Linked DNA regions of Xenopus tropicalis. The protein of the gene in region 5 interacts with the protein of the main gene of each other region in a pairwise test. Links are inferred from orthologs where the notes say so. Each region holds a gene or a part of one and is shown on either strand. Other genes may lie near its edges.

What was found. The genes of interacting proteins can lie anywhere in the genome.
Region 1: the proteins of lzts2 (region 5) and fkbp6 interact in binary tests that used the Homo sapiens proteins (3 or more experiments, as listed by UniProt). The two-hybrid records come from large-scale screens. The link is inferred for Xenopus tropicalis from reciprocal best matches to the Homo sapiens genes LZTS2 and FKBP6.
Region 2: the proteins of lzts2 (region 5) and nck2 interact in binary tests that used the Homo sapiens proteins (3 or more experiments, as listed by UniProt). The two-hybrid records come from large-scale screens. The link is inferred for Xenopus tropicalis from reciprocal best matches to the Homo sapiens genes LZTS2 and NCK2.
Region 3: the proteins of lzts2 (region 5) and gpank1 interact in binary tests that used the Homo sapiens proteins (3 or more experiments, as listed by UniProt). The two-hybrid records come from large-scale screens. The link is inferred for Xenopus tropicalis from reciprocal best matches to the Homo sapiens genes LZTS2 and GPANK1.
Region 4: the proteins of lzts2 (region 5) and thap7 interact in binary tests that used the Homo sapiens proteins (3 or more experiments, as listed by UniProt). The two-hybrid records come from large-scale screens. The link is inferred for Xenopus tropicalis from reciprocal best matches to the Homo sapiens genes LZTS2 and THAP7.

The regions. Positions count from the first base shown.
Region 1 is NC_030678.2:41,855,481-41,859,778, reverse strand, and holds the start of fkbp6 (inactive peptidyl-prolyl cis-trans isomerase FKBP6), read left to right. Parts: upstream 1-1,498; 5' UTR 1,499-1,586; intron 1,587-3,825; coding exon of another isoform or gene 3,826-3,852; coding exon 3,853-3,943; intron 3,944-4,298. UniProt on the Homo sapiens protein: Has an essential role in spermatogenesis. It is required to repress transposable elements and prevent their mobilization, which is essential for the germline integrity.
Region 2 is NC_030678.2:110,108,230-110,112,442, forward strand, and holds the start of nck2 (cytoplasmic protein NCK2), read right to left. Parts: upstream 2,801-4,213; 5' UTR 2,758-2,800; intron 1-2,757. UniProt on the Homo sapiens protein: Adapter protein which associates with tyrosine-phosphorylated growth factor receptors or their cellular substrates. Maintains low levels of EIF2S1 phosphorylation by promoting its dephosphorylation by PP1.
Region 3 is NC_030684.2:74,607,847-74,612,066, forward strand, and holds the start of gpank1 (G patch domain and ankyrin repeat-containing protein 1), read right to left. Parts: upstream 2,801-4,220; 5' UTR 2,727-2,800; exon of another isoform or gene 2,717-2,726; intron 119-2,716; 5' UTR 113-118; coding exon 1-112.
Region 4 is NC_030683.2:102,966,175-102,970,237, reverse strand, and holds the start of thap7 (THAP domain-containing protein 7), read right to left. Parts: upstream 2,801-4,063; 5' UTR 2,639-2,800; intron 2,579-2,638; exon of another isoform or gene 2,554-2,578; intron 271-2,553; 5' UTR 244-270; coding exon 164-243; intron 1-163. UniProt on the Homo sapiens protein: Chromatin-associated, histone tail-binding protein that represses transcription via recruitment of HDAC3 and nuclear hormone receptor corepressors.
Region 5 is NC_030683.2:29,793,038-29,796,537, forward strand, and holds part of lzts2 (leucine zipper putative tumor suppressor 2 homolog), read left to right. Parts: intron 1-2,307; coding exon 2,308-3,012; 3' UTR 3,013-3,500. UniProt on the Homo sapiens protein: Negative regulator of katanin-mediated microtubule severing and release from the centrosome. Required for central spindle formation and the completion of cytokinesis.

The sequences.
Region 1 (4,298 bases), on a different chromosome or scaffold from region 5:
AGCGTTTACCATTTCCTTATTCAAATGTAGCGCCTTCTCTATAACAATTAACATACAAAGCTATATGGCCTCTTATGCCTCTAAAGCCTTCATGAACTTGATGATTTTTGTGGTAAACTTTTTATTTTAAATGACACTGTTTACATAGCAAATAATTCACTCTGTCATTTAAAATTTTATTTTTAAACCAACATTTAATTAGTTGTAATATTGGTGTGTAGGTGCCATCTCAGTGCATTGTGCCTGAGTCTGAGCTTTCTGAAGGAGCCAGCGCTACATATTAGAACTGCTTTCAGATAACCTATTGTTTCTCCTGCTCCCATGCAACTAGAGTCTTTCAGAAGAAGCCAGCGCTACACATTAGAACTGCTTTCAGGTAACCTATTGTTTCTCCTACTCCCATGTAACTGGAGAACTTGGATTTCTTACTATTGAGTGCTATTCTGATACCTACTGGGAGCTGCCATCTTGCTCCCTTCCCATTGTTCTGCTGACCAGCTGCTAGGAGGGGGGGATATCACTCCAACTTACAGCACAGCAGTATAGTGTGGCTGAAGTTTATCAGAGCACAGGTCACATGGCTGTGGTACCCTGGGAAATGAAGAATATGGCTAGCCCCATGTGAAATTTCAAAATTAAATATAAACAATCTGTTTTTGAAAAACGGATTCCAATGCAGGATTCTGCTGGAGAAGCTCTATTAACTAATGTGTTTTGAAAAAAAACATGTTTTCCCATGACAGTATTCCTTTAATAAAATCCAGCTCAAGGTAAAGTACCTGCTAGCTAGATGTAAGGGGGTGGGGGCTTTGAAGGGTATATTTATATCCTCATATTAATATGCACTTCATATAAATATGCTTACACACAAACTGACTGCCCTTATGAATAGAGCACTGTATTGATGGGGTACACTCAGGTCTCTCTGCTACTTGTGTTGGTACTGTAATTATATGCTACAGCAGTGCAATTGCAAACGCCATAGCGGCTGCTGTGAGATGCCATAGACAGTGGGGGGGGGGGGTTGTTTGGACCCCTGTGATCTTGATATTTCAAGGCCTATTTTCATTTTAACCTGGGTAGAAAAAAATGTTTACTTTAGCACAAGCTTTATAGCACTTTAGGACAACAATTTCGCCTGGACTTTCACTGATTTACTTCCTAAATGATCTCCCATGCCCCACAGGCAAAGGCTTTCTGTTTGCCCATCCATGGCATTTCACTGGTACTTTCTATTTCCACTCCACCTACTAACAGTTTCTCAAAACATAACCAACTTCATCTTCCAGGCCAAGTGTGGCTCTCCATGGAATCCTATTACTGCGCGGCCACAACTAGCTCTCCTGCCCCCAATCATCACTTTGTAGGACCTCCCTTCAGAGCCGCTAACATACAGCTCACGTTGATTGGTGAGACGCCTGTCACATGACCAGGCCCGCCCAAAGAGCAAGTCTGAGAAAAGACCGCGGGGGAAGAAACATGATGGTGAGAGCGGCGGTGTTACCGAGTGTGTGGGACACGGGCTGTGGGGATGTGTGGCCGTGTAAAATCCCCACAATATATGCTTAGGAAAGCGCACAGAACAAGTTTGTCCATTAGGAACAATCGCATTTATAAACACAGCTTTCCTTATGGAAATGGAAACTTAGCACCTGGTGCAGGAGGTTAATGCCGGCAGTACCTGCGCCTGTTTGTCAGTGATTGGTACTTGAGGATAACATGTCTGCAAGAATTTATAGAATGTACATTTACAAGAATGTAAAATTTGATTTTGAACATAGGAATGAAGTTTGCCCTTGAATAAGTAAAAGGCTTTCAGAGTTATTAATCTACAAGTTTTCCAGAAACCACTTCCAGTGTAATTAGTAAATGTAATCAAAGTTTTAGTAAGTGCCCTAGTTACCCAGTGTGTCTCTTTATATAATTATATTACACATTAGATGCACCCCAATTCTACATTTAGGGTTCCCACATTATGATGTACTTGGAGCCTAGGAGAAAGCAAGTATGGGGTTCCTTATCCAGAGCCCATTATTAAGAAATGTCAGTATTATGGAAAGACCATCTTTCATAGATTCCATTTTAAACAAGTTTTTTTTTTTTTTTTTTAATCCTTTTTGTCTGTAATAATAATACAGTGCCTTGAACTTGATCCCAACTTGGGATCCCTATTGTAGGTGAACAATCCTGTTGGGTTTATTTAATGTTTAAGCTTTCTGGATAACAGGTCCCATTCCTGTATAATGTTCTGTGGTTGCTCGTACGCTGCCTGTGACTAGTTGTTAAAGCATAATGTGCATGAGTGAGAGCGGCCATTGTATAATGTACTGGGCTAACCAGTAGAAAGTAGTGTTTCTGTATATTGTGCTGGTGTTTTAGCCTGGTGTTGTCTATGAAATTAGTATATGTAAATATGGATTGGAGGCATTTTTCACCCATTTGCCATGCCCAAGAATTTCCCTATAATTGTTATAGGGAGCAGTATGTAAGTGTGTCTCATATTTTCTGCAATACCTTTTAGAGTTGTAGAGGAATTGTGGAACAAAAGATGCTTCATATAAATTCACATTAAGCCACTGGACACAGACAGCCCTGAATAAAATAGTACTGAATGGTGATGTTGGCACAGCTAGCATATCTAATGTTATACCTATTTGCCTATTAAATTGATTTCTGATCGCGCTTTTTAAGATGACAATATTTGGCAAGAGTCGCTTGTTTGGTGAGTTTGCCAGGCTCCTTGGGACAAACGATCAGGTTGCAATCACAGGAATAGGACCGTTGAAGCAAGGACCCCAATGCAGTCCCTGTTTCAAAGGAAAATTCAAACCTGCTCGATTGACACCTGGGCAATTTTCGCCACCTTTAGTGTCTCTGACATTTTAAACAGGGACTTGTCAAATATTTGACAATAAGACCTGCATCTTTAGGCCATCATATTTATACATTACGCTAATGGCACACAGGGTTGTGCAGAAATTCATTTCTCATTCATACAAGTGGTAAAAAATTCCCTTCCTTTTCCCTGTGTCTCAGCCCCTGATGGGATATTACATTGTAAAGGGAACATTTCCATTCTTCTAGCATGTTGCAAGTGGAAGTTATCCGTGCACCTTTCCAAATAACAATCTGGTTGCTGGCCTGGTAATCAAAAAGCAGATTGGGGCTGGAGGATATATTTTTTTTTTTTTAATTTGCTAATTTTTATGGCAATCTCCTATTTATCATTCTTTCTGACATTTGCACATGCCTGTCTGCTCTGGCCAGTGACAGCTTTAATATCCAACTGGAGAGAGAACAAACAAAAAAAGGTGAACTTTACCATTTTTTCATTGCATTTAATTTTTGTTTGTTCACCAAGCACCTACAGATGTATATCTTTCTGTCTAAGACCTAAGTCCTGCCGCACATGGAGTGTATGATCCACCAGCAGAGAAGTTTAAAATCGTGGCTTTTCAGTCTGTTATTTAATGAAATGAAATTGGTCACCTCGGCCACCTTTGTCACCATCTGGAAACCATCAGTGGAGAATCCGCCAAGTGTGCCGTAGGCCAAAAACCATTGTGTACTGAACAGTTTACCTCTTGTACTCTAAAGCCCAATTTCACCTTCAGTGGCTGCACCCATGGTTACACAGCCGTATATATAAGTGGAGTAGAGCTTTTGAAGCAAAAGCAGGAATTCATTGATCTGATTTGACCTTAAACCTTTTAAATAAAAAGTTCATGTACTGTAGATTATTGTTTTCAGGGGTATGTCTTGTTACTGATTTGTTATTCTGTAAAGCAGAACCATCTTTTACTGACCGGTGTGCTTTCATTGTAGTCTGTATTTCATCAGCTGGCACAGCAAATGGAAGATGTATCTGGAGACAGAGGGGTGCTGAAAGAAGTGATTCGGCCCGGAAAAGGAGGGAAGGTTCCCTGTGATGCAACAGTAATACGTAAAAAGCTCCTGCAGTACCATATTTACATATAGAAACTGGCAAGCCCTTGGACATATTGCTATATAATAGATATATGCATTATACTATGATATTGGTTGTTTCTGTTAAGGACGGTAAAGACCCTTTACAGTACAATTTCAATGAGCAGGACTTGTGCTGAACATACTTTTTTCCTATTATTTTAATAACAAAAATGTTTTTTATGATCTTTTAGATAATCAGATTCCCAGTGCACAGATAATCCCTCTGCATAATGGACATTTGTTTATCTGTGGTATGAGAATCTAATTATCTGTGATGTACACAATGTCATTTATCTCTGATGGCCCTGGCACTACCATAAAATGTCATC
Region 2 (4,213 bases), on a different chromosome or scaffold from region 5:
AGTCCTATAATGTTTAATACCTGTAGTGTATTTTTTTTTTTTTTTTATGTGTAGAGATCCATGCCCCTTAAAGCTACTGTACCATAATAATATATCGGCCATCTGCTATGCCAATTGAGTTCAAAATCTATAGAACAACTGCATAAAAAGTGATCTTAAAATAAACACATGTTGTTCTACAGCATCATACTCACAAGACTGTGCGTAAGCACCTGCATTGCACTGTATTTTTAATGCTCCTTGCTCTGTTTTCAATCAGCTGTAAACCAAAGTTTGCAATGCAGTCTGTGAAAGCACATTTATAGCCTATGTATATTTCAACATCTGCTGCCACCCACTGAATCTAAACACACCACAAATGGCCAGTGAACATGGAGAGACTGTGGAACACAGAATACTGAAAAAGAATCTCTGTATCAGGAGACTAAAAACAGAAAAAAAGCTTACCTGCTACCTGAAACACATTCCTTTTCTCCATCTGCAGTTACATTTTACAATGTATGCATGGCAATATCCTAGTTGTTGTATAAAGTGATCACTTATACATACTACTGTCACACATACATAACTACAAGCATGGACAAAATATTGTGCATTTATAATCATATTGAAAAAAACAAACAAACATACACCCTATGTGTTTAATGCAATGCACATTAATATTTCAGATGCATGTGGATACACATCCTGCAACAGTAGTTGCCAAACTGTGGGTATGGCCTCACAGGGAAGTACTAGAAGTACTAGAAGGGAGGGCCAAGCCTTAAAGTCAATTTTGGATAAGGAAACCCTGATTCACTGAATGGTGCCAATATGTTAGGAATGCTATATACTGGCTGCAGTATCAGGTATTTCTACCTCAGCAGAGTACAAATGGAAATTTTTACCCTACTGCATATACATCTCAGTCTAAATCTAAAGCAGGACACCTGGGTAATGTAACTAAGATGGCAGGGGTGGCATTTATTTTATATGCAGGCTAACAATTCACCTTGCATGGCCATACCCTTAAGAGTAAATGCTTATCAACTATATTGGGCATGCCTAGAATTTCAGTAAGTGCATGTGTACTTATATTTGTAAACTTATTAGGAGCCAAGGAGGGGGCTGTACCCAGAGGTGATCAGTTGGATTGAGATCAATCTTTTTCGCTTGCATCTCAGCAAACCAATTTGTGCAAGATGGGTATTAATATACTAGACATAAAATGACCTTGCCTAAACTGTTGCCACAAAGTATAAAGAAAGAAATGATCAAGAATGCCATTGTTCACTGAAGCTTTAAGCTTTGCTTTTAATAAGACCAAGAACCCTATCCCAGACCATTAAAAAGTGGACCCAGACACCTATTCATTTCCAGCTTTATTGTCACCCTTACACATTCAAGCAGGTAGTAGTCCTACTTGCATCTACCTTACCCAGACTAGACTAAGTCAGACGGGCAAATGCGAGGAATGATTCATGCCTTGAGAGAGGCATCTTCCACCTCCTTGGAGTCCAGTGACATAGATCTTTACACCACTCCTGCCAACACATGGCATCACACATAGGGGTATATTTATCTTGCTGTGTAAAAAGTAGTGATATTGCCCAAGGCAACCAATCAGCAAGCAGATTTCAACAGTTAGAAAACCAAAGCACCTGATTGGCTGCTATGAGCAACATCACCGGTAATGTTTCACTCCACATACTCGTACACAGCAATATAAATAAATCCCATAGTGTTGTGTGCTGCTGCTCAACAGAATAAACACTTCTGATGAATAGTTCTAGTGCTGACATTGCATCCAGAGACAGCTTGGAATCCAGCAGCAAATGTGTTAATACTGAGAATATGTGATAATAGAAGGGTATTCACCCCACCAATAAAACCTAAAATGCCCAAATTCAGCAGCCCTCAGTTATGTCCAACCTTCTTTAGCCTTTGAACTCTAATTCCCAGCAGCCCATGCCAGCCCACATACACCTAGCTGCCACATGCTGGAGGTGGTGCATGATAGGAAACAACTGTGGGGCTGCAGGTTGGCCCTGCTTTGCACTTATCACAACCACTCAGCTTTAATATCAATGTGCGCTAAATCTGCGCCCCATCCCCGCCTTCAACTCATTTATTGTGCGAGGATCGAATTCATTTACAACTGCACTGAAAAAAAGAGTCCCTATTGCAAGAACTTACACGCCAGAAAGTAAAGGCAATAGCACAAAGGCTTCCCCCACGCACTAATGTATTCACACAGACAATATGCAGCGCTACAGACCCGCACACTGAATACAATCATTCGCATGTAACAGCAGCTCAGTGCGCGAAGCAGCTGCCTGGGGACCCTCAAAGGAAGGGCCAGCATCGGTGGCGAATGGGTGGGTGACTTCTGGGTCCTAAAGGGAACCGGCAGCGCTGCAGGATTACCGAGCCCGTTCATGTCAATGAGCTGCACACTTGTGAAGGGAGGGCGGGAGCGGGGTGCCAGCATGTTCTTTCTCCTACACAGCTTGTATTCTGCTTGTTCTGTCACAGAAGTTTTAGTCCCGGGAACTGAATAGGGTAGGAGGGAGTTTGAACTTCACCCCCAGCTTAACCAATCCAGCTCTACCGGGACTAAAGCTTCTGTCACAAAACCACTGGTACAGAAACCTATGTATGGGAAAGAACATGCTGGTACCCCAGCTCCCGCCCTGCCTCCCCAAGTCTGGAAGTAAGTGCATACTGCAACAGTCCCGCTGTTCCTCACACAGCCCTTAGTCCCGTATCGCTACTTACATCTCCCGAAGAGCTTGTTACTGCAGGCTCCGGTCCTACACACACTCCCAGCGCCACATCTCTCCTCACGCGAGACTGGCATCGCCGCTACACGTAACGCACTGACACATTGGCGCGCCGCCTTGTGGGAGTGACGAGCCGGCCTGGCTCAGTGTTACACGGTGGGAAGCTGCTAGGCAGCCGCGGTTGGTCAGCTCCCAATCTCTTTTTCCAATGCTCGCACCTCCTACTTTTGATAGAGAACAAAAGAAAAAAGACTTTTCTTTGGTGTTGGGTGACCGCCATGCTCGCTGCCGCCTCTGCCCCCGATGTTTCCTCAGAAGTCATTCATATTTTCTAGTCGGAGTTCTGAATTGTGACAGGGAACGAAAGAAAGACTTTGTCCTTGTTGCCAACAGTACCTGCTGCCATCAGAGCCTTGTCTCGAAAAGCCACTGATACACACTTTCATATTTTAGCTACCTGAAATTAATGTAGATATTAAGATGTTCATCAAAAAAAGAAAAAGAAGCAGTGCACAAGCTGTTGACATCACAATATTTATAAAGTTTGTGTATACACCTAGGGGCTGATTTACTAAGACACGATTTCGAATCCGAATTGGAAAAATTCCGATTGGAAACGAACATTTTGCGACTTTTTTGGTAATTTTGTGTTTTTTTCGTATTTTTTGCGATTTTTTCGTATTTTTTGCGATTTTTTCGGCGTCTTTACGATTTTTGCGGAAAAACGCGAGTTTTTCGTAGCCATTACGAAAGTTGCGCAAAGTCGCGATTTTTTCGTAGCGTTAACACTTGCGCGCAAAGTCGCACCTTTTTCGTAGCGTTAAAACTTAAAAGGCGCGACGTTTCGCGCAAGTTTTAACGCTACGAAAAAAATCGCGACTTTGCGCAACTTTCGTAATGGCTACGAAAAACTAGCGTTTTTACGCAAAAATCGTAAAGACGCCGAAAAAATCGCAAAGAAAACGCAAAATTACCGATTATTACGAAAAAAACGCAATCGGACGCATTCGGCCCGTTCGTGGGTTAGTAAATGTGCCCCCTAATCTATGCTAGTATTTTCATTAGATGAACAATTCTCCATATTATAATTATTTTCACAAATGGTACTTATTAGAAATCTTTTATAAATGTATAGTCGCTTTTGGGGTGCCAAGCTACATAATAGTCATTATAGTTATTGTGGACTAAAGCTGTCCAACCATAAAACATATTTTATTATACAGGGGCACTGCGGCCATAAGGCGAATTGAGAAACTCGTCTCAGGCAGCAGCAGCCCTCAAGTTTACCAGGGGCAGCAAAACGACGTTTAAAGAACTTAAAAGTAGAAGGAAAGTCATTTTGGCATTTTACTGCCAATAGAGTCGCCAAATTATTCTGCAGAAAGCTTTACCTACCTGAGTAAAAAGCCTTTTGTTTAAGATAGCAGCTGCCATTTTAGCTTGGTCTCCGT
Region 3 (4,220 bases), on a different chromosome or scaffold from region 5:
TTATATTTTTATTGGATGCATTGAGATCTTTTTTATTACTGCACTCTCCATTCTCCCAAAAATCCGATTTGTCCCGGGCTTTTGTAAAAGTAATAAGCTGAAGATGATTCATTTTTTTCTGCCAAAGAAGAATATATAAATATGTTAAAATATATTAAATGTAACAATTTTTATGTGATTTCTGAAGGCCTAATTAAATTAATATAATTAAATTAGATCACTTAAAAGACAGCCCATGATCATTTTGTAATACTTTACTATATGCTTCTAGCATACCTTATGTTAAAACGCTGCATAACATTTGCAGCACAACAGAATTCATTAATATCGGAGTTTATCAACCTGCAACCTTGAATGCTCAAACATGCAACACAATGAAAACTTAAGGGCTGCATATAGGGCATTTGGGTTTGAGGGACAAGGCACACACAAGTAAGAATCAGATTAAAACTACCCATTCTTAGTTCGATTTTCACAATAAAAAGTAACTTTGCTGACTTGCATAAGGTATTGCTATTAAAAGAGAAAATTTAAGATGTGTCTTTAAAGGAGAAGGAAAGGTAAAAACTAAGTAAGCTTTATCAGAAAGGTCTATGTAAATACAGCCATAAGCACTCACAGAAACATCTGCACTGAGTTCTCTGTCAAAAGAAACAGGATTTGTTGTCTCTTTGTTTTCCTGTGCTAGAGACACGCAGCTCTCTCCTGCTCCCCCCACCCACAAGAATGTGTGATCTGAGACAATCAGCAGGAAGCTTCCTCATAGTCTTACACACTGAGCATGTACGCTGGTCTTGGTGCAGGAGCGAGGCATTATGGGAATTTTGTTTACAGAGCTCAGAATTTTTTTTTTTCCCTATGAAGCTTCTGATCATCTGAACAGGAGAAATATGGGAAGACTTAAGGGCACTATTGAGAGAACTGAAGGTATGCCTGCAGCTTTTTTTAGCCTTTCCTTCTCCTTTAAATAAACTGTGACTTAAGGTGGCCATACACGTTACAATAACAATCTTTCCTGCTACCAGTGGTTGCTGGAAAGATCGTTAGTCCACTCCACTAACATTAAGAGCTGAATTGTCAGATATGCAGGTAGAAACAATAGAATTATAATATACAGTTTGGTCAGTTCCCTATGGGACCAAACTGTAAATTATATCCATATAAATGGTGCTTAGTGATGTCATCAGTTATAATCAGAGCTAAGTGATGTAATTTCTGGCACATGACTCACTAAAACTTGTATATTATAATACAGTACCCCCTCTTGTAAAATATGAGGATATTAGAAGTCACCTCAGCGTTCCATGACCTGTATAAAAGCACTCGGCTTTGACCTTGTGCTTTTATATTGTCATGGAACTCTTTGGTGACATATAATACCCCTATATTTTACAATAGGGGGTACTTTATTCACTATCTATCCCTATCTGACAATTCAGAATTAACCTACCTTCAAAGGCATCCAATCAGAATTTCCTATCCTTGCCCACTGACAAGAAGACCAATATCCAAGGCTTTTGCCAAAATCGTTTACCTCATCAAACCCAACTTACATGCACTGAATATCGTACTAAACCTTGTTTCTGACTGACAAAAGAAATAACTGGACCAGCACTCTCTTATGTGTAAATAAACCTGTGTGAATGTATTTCTTTACAACCCTATGCCCAACATTTCTGTCCTCATTTGGATCTTTCTTAATTATCCTTGAGAACAAGAGTTATTGGATGTACAGCATGAAAGTTATTTCCGATCATAACCACTCCGACTGGGTGTTTCTGCACAGGCAGAGAAACAGCCTAGCGTGATATTAGCTTTAGGGCTGAATGTGTGGAACAACAGAAAGTTGGTTATACTATGTATGGTGCCTCATATATTATAAGTGACCTACAGCACTTATATTTGCCTATTTGTGTCTGTAAGTTACCCTACCATATAGATTGTAAGCTCTACGGGGCAGGGACCTCCTTCCTCTTGTGTCCTCGACTCTTAACTTATTGCAGCTGTATTTATCTGTATTTATTGTTTTACTTTGTATTTATCTATTATTATCTTATTAACACCCTGTTTGTATTAATGTATTCTACTGAACAGCGCTGCGTACATAAGTAGCGCTTTATAAATAAAGATATACATACATCATTATAAGCCTGTGTAAGAGCAGCTTGTTAGACGTCATACTGCGGACAAGCCCTCATGTCGTAGCACACCATTTTAATAAAGGTGGCCATATGGAGCAGATTTTAGCTGATTCAGCTTCTTCAGTCTGAGCCGCAACTTATGTACCAGTCTATGGGGCCCGCCAACAGGCTGACCTGATTTTTGGTCAGATATTGATTGGACAAGTTTAAAAATCTCATCTGGTTAATGACTGCATTGGCTCGTTGCTGCTGACCACATTGGCTTGCTGTGATCAACCTCAAGGTGGACAATATCAAAGATCCACTCATTTAGCAACCTTACTAAACGAGTGGATCTTTCAATGTACGGCCAGCTTTACCTACTAGATAGGACTGTGTCCTCCCTCTGAAGGTTACGTTAGAAATGAAATTAAACTGCAGTTTTCTTAACAAAACTAATATGGTTTTATTCAGTGCAATTGATATATTCATCTAAAATACTCTTCAGCTAGAGAGAAAGTAATTCTTATTGCCCATGGCCTGTTGTAAAAATACAGAAATCTTCCTGGGTATAAGAATGCTGAAGGGAAACATACACTCACATACCGACGTAGCCCACTTTTCTTAACACAGGACGCACTTCTAAATGGCTGCTAAATGTCCCACAACGCCATTCAAATATCCAGCTCCTCGGTTCCGGCAAACCTGCTCTCCCAGAGATACCTCACACTCTCGCGAGATGAGACTGTGACGCCACAACTGGAGCGTATGGGAGCGTCAGTGCGTAAGCGTCACTTGTGCTAAACAACGTTCAGTGGTTCTGTGTTACAGTAGAGCACGTTGCTGGTACGCTGCCTCAGCAGCTAGTAACGCGCGGTTATGTATGCCAGGGCAGCCATATATCTGCTCACAGTTTGTTTTAGCTGCACGCCCCGCCTGCTTTTGTCAAGAAACACAAAAATAAAAACATTTTTTAATATTGTTGTAATTACCTGCAGTGTCTTCTGCAAGCAGAGCCTTCGTTATCAATGTTTGATCGGAAATAGTTCTATCTCTTGTGCCAGGGAGCAAAGTAATAACACGTTATTGGTGGTCTACAGCAGCCGAATGCAGACAGATTTCACATGCACGTTTAAATGTCTTGTCTTTTGTGTTTAGGTGCCCATGCACCCAGCTAGAAGGGCTGAAACTGCGCAGTAAGCAGTCCGACATCGTCAGAGCCCTCCCAATACATGTTAGAGCAGGGAAAAAGCACTAAGCACTATTTATTTTTGTTCTTTAAATGGCAGATATATTACTCTGCCCCAGACAACTGTACAGCTAGCTGGAGGAAAGGTTGTGCATGCAGGACCAGAGAAAATGTCAGCACCGATTATGTTTTCACTAAATTTATGAAAAGAGAATTGTGAAAAATGTTAAAGTGCACTTTAAAGCATTTAAAGCAATGTAAGCTCCAAATGTCCTTGGTTGCCTGTAATTACACTACTGGCATTGAGCTACTGTGGCACCTACCATGGCCAGGATCTTTATGCCACAATATATGTGTTGTTTTAGGGAAATGGGTTCCAAGAAAGCCTTCGCTGTACCTGTAAATATTTGTCCACGTAAAAGGCTGAATCCAATTCATAAAAGTAGGAGAGACAGGTATTTGCAGACATTTAAACTGCAACTTATTCACATTATATGTTGTTTTTTTCTAGGATGAAGTTAGTAAATACAAGCTGTGTCACCTTGCTATGCAGGGAGTAGGTTTATACAGTATGTACATTGTGTAAATGGTTCCCAGAGGAATTGCACTGTTCATGCATTAAACCTACACAGGCGTCACACTGGTGGTGGCAATCCAAGATGGTGAATGCAAAGTTGTAGGGAAAGGAAAAGTGCTGGTACTGTATGAAAGATGTTGCATGAAAACTATAGGGGCTTGGGGCTATATACACGAACAAAAGAAATGTCAGCTCATCTGGAATTTTTTACGCCAATTCGTGCAGTAATGGCCCAGTCACCTGATGTCAGTTATTTGCACTGGAATCTTTTTCTTACCCCACTATTAAACAGCATGGAAGTTGCACCTGAAGTCTTTAGAAGCAGCCAGAGCAG
Region 4 (4,063 bases), about 73 Mb from region 5:
GTACATTAGAGGGGATTATAGGCAGATGGGGGATGTTCTTTTTTCCCATAAAAACAATCAGCGCACCAGAGGCCACCCCTTTAGATTAGAGGAACGGAGCTTCCATTTGAAGCAGCGTAGGTGGTTTCTCACGGTGAGGGCAGTGAGGTTGTTACATACATACCGATGGAAAGTTATACCCTTGCGCTTGCTTAGTGCCGTCTGACGGTTGACGCAGTCAGCAGCAGAACATGATCGCACCATTTCGTAGTTTTCAAATAAGAATCTTATCTAAAACAAAAAATAAGGCAAATAAATCTAAACAAAATCACCATAGTTAGATTTTGCTTGCAGTTGAAAATTCCACTCAAGAAGCGACTATTAAAGGAGAAGGAAAGGTAAGCATTAGCAGAAAGGTAAAGTAAATACAGCCATAAGCACTCACAGAAACGCTGCACTGAGTCATCTATTAAAAGAAACACAGGATTTGTTGTCTCCTTTTTTGTAAACATGTTCTCAGGGTATTTGACTCCCTTCTTTAAGAAAAATCCTTCATTCCTGGGGCCAGAGTCTGTGCAGCTCTCTCCTCTCTCCCTTAAGAATTCAAAAAACTCACTCCCCCCACCCTTAAGCTTCTAGGGTTCTTTACTCAGGTATGATAAAGCTGTCTACAGAATAAATATAGCATTCTAGGTGGCACTTTTGTGGCAAATCTATTGGCAGTAAAATGCCAAAATAACTTTCCTTCTCCTTTAAAAAACATCAGAGTAGTTCAGCAAACAGGACAGCATGGATATGAATTCTGCCTTGCAGTACTAAGCTGGATCCAAGCCAGGGCACTATCTGCAAAGACTCTATATTCTTCCTGTGTTAGTGTGGGTTTCCTCCCAGCATTCCAAAAACATACATGGTTCTTGATTAAATGGACCCTTGTGTGCACAAATGTGATAGGGACCTTGGATTATACATTTCACTGGGGCAGGGTCTGAAGTGATTGATGTATAATCTCTATAACACACTGCAGGAATGTGTCAGTGCTATGTAATTACAATTATAGTAAAGAAATAACAAACCTCAATGACTAATACACAGGAGTGCTATTATGAGATAATGCAAAAGGTCTCATTACACAATTTCAATTTATTTTCTTATTCCACTTTTTGTGTTTCTAGTCCAGCAGAAAATGTCAAACCAAAAAGTGAATTCATCTTTTAGTCACTCAGTCAGTGTGAACAGATAATAGTTTAAATACTGGTGAGCTGTATAGCAAAATATTAAATCAATAAGAAATAATGAATGTTAAGTAAGGCAGTCCAACTGCAAATTCTCTCATAACAGCTCTCGTTAGCAGGGCCCTCTAACCCTGCTGTTTATGCTGTTACCCATCCATGTTTACTGTAAGGGCTCTGGCACACGGGGAGATTAGTCGCCCGCGAACAGGGAGTTTTGCCGCGGGCGACTAATCTCCCCGTGTTCCAGAGCCCTAAGACTCCTGATGCTGATTTTATAGAAATAAGTTAGGACATGGATGTAGTGGAACAAGAACACAGCAAAATGATAAATCAATCCAGCCCTTTCCTGGGAGTGCCCCGTACAGTATGCAGCCTTCAGCTGGACAGCCACCTTATATTTTCATCATCCTGAACTTACTAAACATTACTTTTAATGTGAAAATGCATTTTCATGAATGCAACAAATGAAATGCCACCGGAAATATGAAGCTGCACCTAGCTCCGTAGTGAAACTCAGAATAGGCTCGGGCACATCAAGTACAGGTATGGGACCTGTTTTCCAGAATGCTCGAGACCTGGGGTTTTCTGGATAAGGGATCTTTCCGTAATTCTCCATAACTTAAGTCTGTTAAAAATCTTTTAAATATTGTTCTGCCCCCAATAAGGAGTAATTATGTCTTAGTTGGGATCAAGTACAAGCTACTGTTTTATTATTACAGAGAACAAGGAAATCTTTTTTAAAAATTAGAATTATAGGCTTATAATGGAGTCTATGGGAGATGGCCATTCCATAATTCAGAACTTTCTGGATAAGGGGTTTGCAGATAAGGGATCCCATACCTGTACACAGAGGCCCAAAATGACCCCTCCACCACCAGCCCAATAAATAGTGAGTGTCTATGGCATCTTACAGCAGCCTCTCTGGCATTTGCCAGAACCCACAGATTGCCAGTCCGGGCCTGCCTGCTCCCCCCTTCCAACAAGAATGGGTCAAGCTGCTGGCACAGGGTGGCATTGGCACAAACAGCTGGTAGGGTGGGAGCAACCAAAACAACAGGGTGACTGTAATGCTTCCCTTGCATTTTCATATGTTTTTTTGTTTTCGGGTCATCCACTGCTTATATCCCATTCTGCTTTACAAACTACTCCCTGGTTGCTAGGCTAATAATTCTAATAAGACATATACCAGCTGCGATTTGCTTGGAATTCGATACAATGCTACAAAGTTGCTTTTTAGGGAGAGCGGATTTATCTTTGCACATGAAACAGCAGACTTTTTAGCAAGGGATTATCTCACATGACTTCTGCCCACATCACTTCATCCAACTCAAATCACATTTACCTTGGAGTTTCTAACGTTATATAAAGGGTAGAGACAGCAAAGAATATAAGGTGTAAGACTCAACCTCTAACTAAACTGCATCTACCTCCCAACTGTCCCGCTTTTGGCGAGACAGCCCCGACTTTCATAACACAGCCCGCAGTCCCGGATCGCTTCTTAAATGTCCCCCATCGCCGTTTAAATATCCCGCATCGCCGTTTCGATGCCTAGCTCCTGGGCTCCTGTCGGCCTACTTTCCGAGACTTCCGTCACGCTCTCGCGAGATGAGACTGTGACGTCACGGCCAGACACTATATAAACGCAAGGTAGGGCTGCTGCCACTAGGTGGAGTAGCGAGTAGAACGTTGTTTGAGCAGCAGTGCATATAGTTATTACACTGAAACACGCTGATAGTAACACATGGTTTCCCACCATTTATTTTGTTCTGTGCTCACTGTTCTTGCTTGTGTCAATAGCTGCCAGCATTACCAAGTTGTTGAAAAAAAGTATGCCTTCCCCCCCCCTTCTTAGAACTCCCATTTGTGCTATGGAGCAATAATGTTTTCTTGTAAACTAAGAGTACTTGCTGCCACTATAACCTCTGCTTCCAATATTTGACCTACAACAAATTTTCTAAATGAGTTTTTTCACCTTGAATTAACTCTTAGGGGGAGATTTAAAAAGACACGAACGATCGCTCCGAGCGCATTTTCGCCGATTTTTTCGCGCTTACGTGACTTTTTTGTACACTTGCGCGAAAAATTCGGAAAGGTTCTGCCGCTGTTTACAATCGTTCGGTAAGAAAATTTCGTGACTTTCGGATCACCAATACGATATTATCGTGACTAATACGATTTTTTCGCAAGCATTTTCGTGATATTTGCAATCTTCAGAAATTATCGTATCCAATCCGAATTTTTCCCATTCGGGATTTGAACTTGTGTTTTAATGAATCGGCCCCCTAGTATGATGTAGAGAGTAATATTCTGAGACAATTTGCAGTTGGTCTTCATTTTTTTGTTTGTAGTTTTTTTAATAATTTCAATGATTTTTCAGCAACTCTCGGGTTTGGAGTTATAACAGCTATCTGGTTGCTAGGGTCCAAATTACCTTAGCAATCAGGGAGTGGTTTAAATGAGAGCCTGATATATGAGTAGGAGAGGGATTAAATAGAAAAAAAAAGGTTATAAAAAGTAATAATAAGATTGTAGCATCACAGACCAACAGAAGACCAAGTGAAAAGTTGCTTATGTTATGGCTGAGCCAGCACAGCAGGGGTTAACCTGCGGAGTGCAGCAGGTTAACCCCTAGTGGCTAGTACGGTTTCAAGTTGTCCATGACATACTTCATGGGCAGTTTTAAAGACATACTGACACCAGAAATTAAGCTTTTTTTATGTCTATCATAAAATTGTCTTTGAATGCTATTTATAATTTTGCTATAAAAGTATTGGCTTGATGCTCTACCTATCTGATCCCCCATGTTCCTCTGAGGGGGCTGCCATATTAGTGAGGCAGGAGTCTGTTAGCTA
Region 5 (3,500 bases):
ATGTGGACTCTCTGTTCTGTATAACATAGTTCTCTCACGGGCCAGTTATTTTTAAAGGGAAACTACACTACTACAATGTTGCTTGCACCATCAGAGGAAAGTTCATCTGCAGCTTTTTTTGTAGTCATCAGGGCAGATGTTCCCAGGTATAGTGCTTTGCACACAAATCAACAAGGAATGACGCAATAGTCCTGCCACCACGTGCTGCCCGCTGAAAGTGCATCGGGCGATTCCCGAGGTGTTAAACCCGGTAGTCTCTCTTGCTGACCTTTGGGTGGAGCTGTCGGGCAGTAAAGCTTAAGTCTCATCAGAACTTAGCTACTCATCTGCTGTATCTGCTGCAGGTACAAAAGCTGGGCCCAGTTACCAAATTACCCAGCCATCTTTCATTTAATTGCAGTTAGAGGCATTCAACCTATGGCTAATAGTGATAAGGCGCCTAATGATTTGTTTAAGCATTTTCTTACTTGAGTTGTTAGTAAAGTTTATTCTGGGGAAAAGCTAAAACTACTTTCTTTCTGATGGTATTTTGGACATAATGTCACCCTAACCTACATCTGGAGAATCCTTATTGTCTGCATAGTCCCATCAGCAACATGTTCTATATATAGGTCAGGCTGCCTTATTTACAACTATATGTGTTTCCAAAGAGCAGAGATTTCCTTTAGCAGGAAATTCAGTAAACTAAATTTTATAGAATTGAATCTGTAGAACTCTTTTACTTATGCGTTTCCCACAAACCAATGCAATTACTGCCATTTCATTCTTTGTTTTATTGCAAAACCCCAAAGCTCTTTACTGGCACTTCCACTTGTTATGGCCTCTAAGGAGCGCAAATGCATGGACCTAAATAGCTGCTTGATAATCAGTCTTGTCATATAAAAGACACATCGATATCAAAGAAAATATCATGGGGAGGGAGAGCTGAATGGCATATTTCAAGGTTAAAAGAAGGCCTGTTTCACTGTGCACACGTCTATTTAAGGCTGTTTATCTTATTTATACATAAATACAATATGAATATGAGATCTAATTTAATATAAAATGAATGAGATCTAATATCCAGAAACCCATTATCCAGAAAGGACCTAAACAGTACTGCCATCTTCCAATGTTCCATGGAGCAGTTTAAGGGAAATATGCATATATATCCTAATGGTTCCATTTTTTCCTCTGTAATAGGAATGATGGTAACTAAGCTACCATAAAAATATATATTGGTGGCAAAGTAACTCTTTTGGTTTTTTACATTTTTATACTTCTAGATATGGTATCTATTAGCTGGAGTGCTCAGAACCTGGGGTTTCCGGATAAGGGGTTTTATTGAAATTTAGATCAACATACCTTGAGTCTTCTAAAACCATGAAATTAACCCAATAGGATTGTTTTGCCACCAATATGGACCCATGCAGCTTAGTTACCATGAAATGTGAATAAATGTTTACATTGGACTGTATGGGGGACGGCTTTTCTGTAATTCAGGGCTTTCTGGATATTGGGTTGGTTTCTGGATAAGAGATCTCATACCTGTAATGTATAAATATAAAGGACTCTGTCCTATCATTCACCTTAATGTATTTCTGTGAACATATAGTGTCCATCATAATTAGCATTCAAGCGGTTTCTCTCCGTATTTATCCACTGCTTTTGGTCCCCTTAGGACTAGTCTGAACCACATTTTAGGAAATTATAGCCTAATTGATGTTTCTAGTGAATGGATTACCTTAAAAAAGCACCCAGTGCCAGAGGCATTAATACAGTAACATTCATTCACTGTAAGCACTGACACAGTAACACTAAAAAATACGTTTTTGTAATGAAAATATAATGTAGTTTTGCCCTGCACTCGTAACAGTGGTGTGTTTGAAACCCTACTATAGTTTATATGGAGAAAAGGAGATAACCAACAGGCTCTGTAGTATACACTTTAATTATACTACTGTTATCTGCTGTGTATCCTGTATCTGAATGGCTGCCCCCATTGCTTACACAGCAACTGTGTAGTAATAACACCCCTGTTATACATTATATTAGCATTCCTAGTGCAACCAACTGCTCAATCCAGGACCCACAGTTCTAGTCAGTTGTGTCTGGCATGAACACGTTTTAGGGAGACAGAGCTCAATAATAAAACAGCACCAGAGTATTAAAGTAGAACGTTGGACATTTGCAGCAGGTTCCGATACCGAGAGTAACCAATCAGATTGCTTTCACTGGTGATTAGAAGATGCTGCTTTGGTTGATAACAGGCTACTAAAACTTTTCCCAACTTTGCAGCTATTAACAGTTCCTATGTAATTCTCGTAGGTTTGCCAGAAATCTGGTGAAATATCATTGCTGAAGCAACAGTTGAAGGACTCCCAGGCTGAGCTGGCACAGAAATCTAATGAGATACTGCTGCTTCGGGCTCAGGTGCGAGAGGCTCGATCCGACCTCCAGATCAGTGAAGAGCAGGTACAGGAGCTGCAGGACACGGCGCACACCAAGACACTGGAGCTGGAGGTGTGCGAGAATGAACTCCAACGCAAAAAGAATGAGGCAGAGTTGTTGCGGGAGAAAGCCAGCAAGTTAGACCAGGAAGTAGCCGGCCTAAGGGAAGCAGCAGTAGCCAACCTGCGCCATGGACTATGCCTTTGCCATGAAAAGGAGGACCCTTTCTTATTATATGAAAGTGACGAGGCCAAAGCGCAGCGGCAGAACGCAGACAACCTGCAGGGCTTGCAGCAGTATGTGGAGCGTCTCAGGGAAGCCCTAACAAGCGAACGCAGGAGATATCAGGAGCAAGCTGACAGCTTTGAAGATGAGCGGCGAATATGGCAAGAGGAAAAAGAGAAGGTGATCCGTTATCAAAAACAGCTGCAGCATAACTATATCCAGATGTACCAGCAGAACCGCGAGCTGGAGAGGGACATTAAGCAGCTCTCCTTAGAACTGGAGGCAAGAGAACTGGACGAGTTTGACTTGCACGGGGCCGAAATCCAGTTTGAGGAAATCACAGCTACAGAAATCTGAAGCCAGTGAATATGCAGAGCTACCACAAATGCCTTTATACACGCCGACAACATTCCAGCCAATGGCTTTGCCAAAACACAGCTACTAAACACTCACACAAGCTCTTCTTCATTGTCACTCAGACTTACAGTGGATAAACCATACTCAGTGTTTTGACAGGGAACCATAGGTTTATGGACTGCACATTAACACTACATGCAACGAGATTTCTAATTGGCAGATCTTGAACACTCATACAAAGTATAGTATTAAGGAGCCATATGTATATATATATATATATACTGTATACCTGCTCACAAGTTATACTATATGGACCAAAGGAACTTGTGTCATTGAATAAGAAATGTATGATACTATGTACAGCACTTATGTATGTGTTTGCATAAAAACCTGCTCCCTTGTCATGGCGTGTAACAGAATTTGAGGTACTGTCATGGAGCACAAAGGTGCCATTATGTTAAGTCTGTTCAGTACTTTTCAGTATTCCT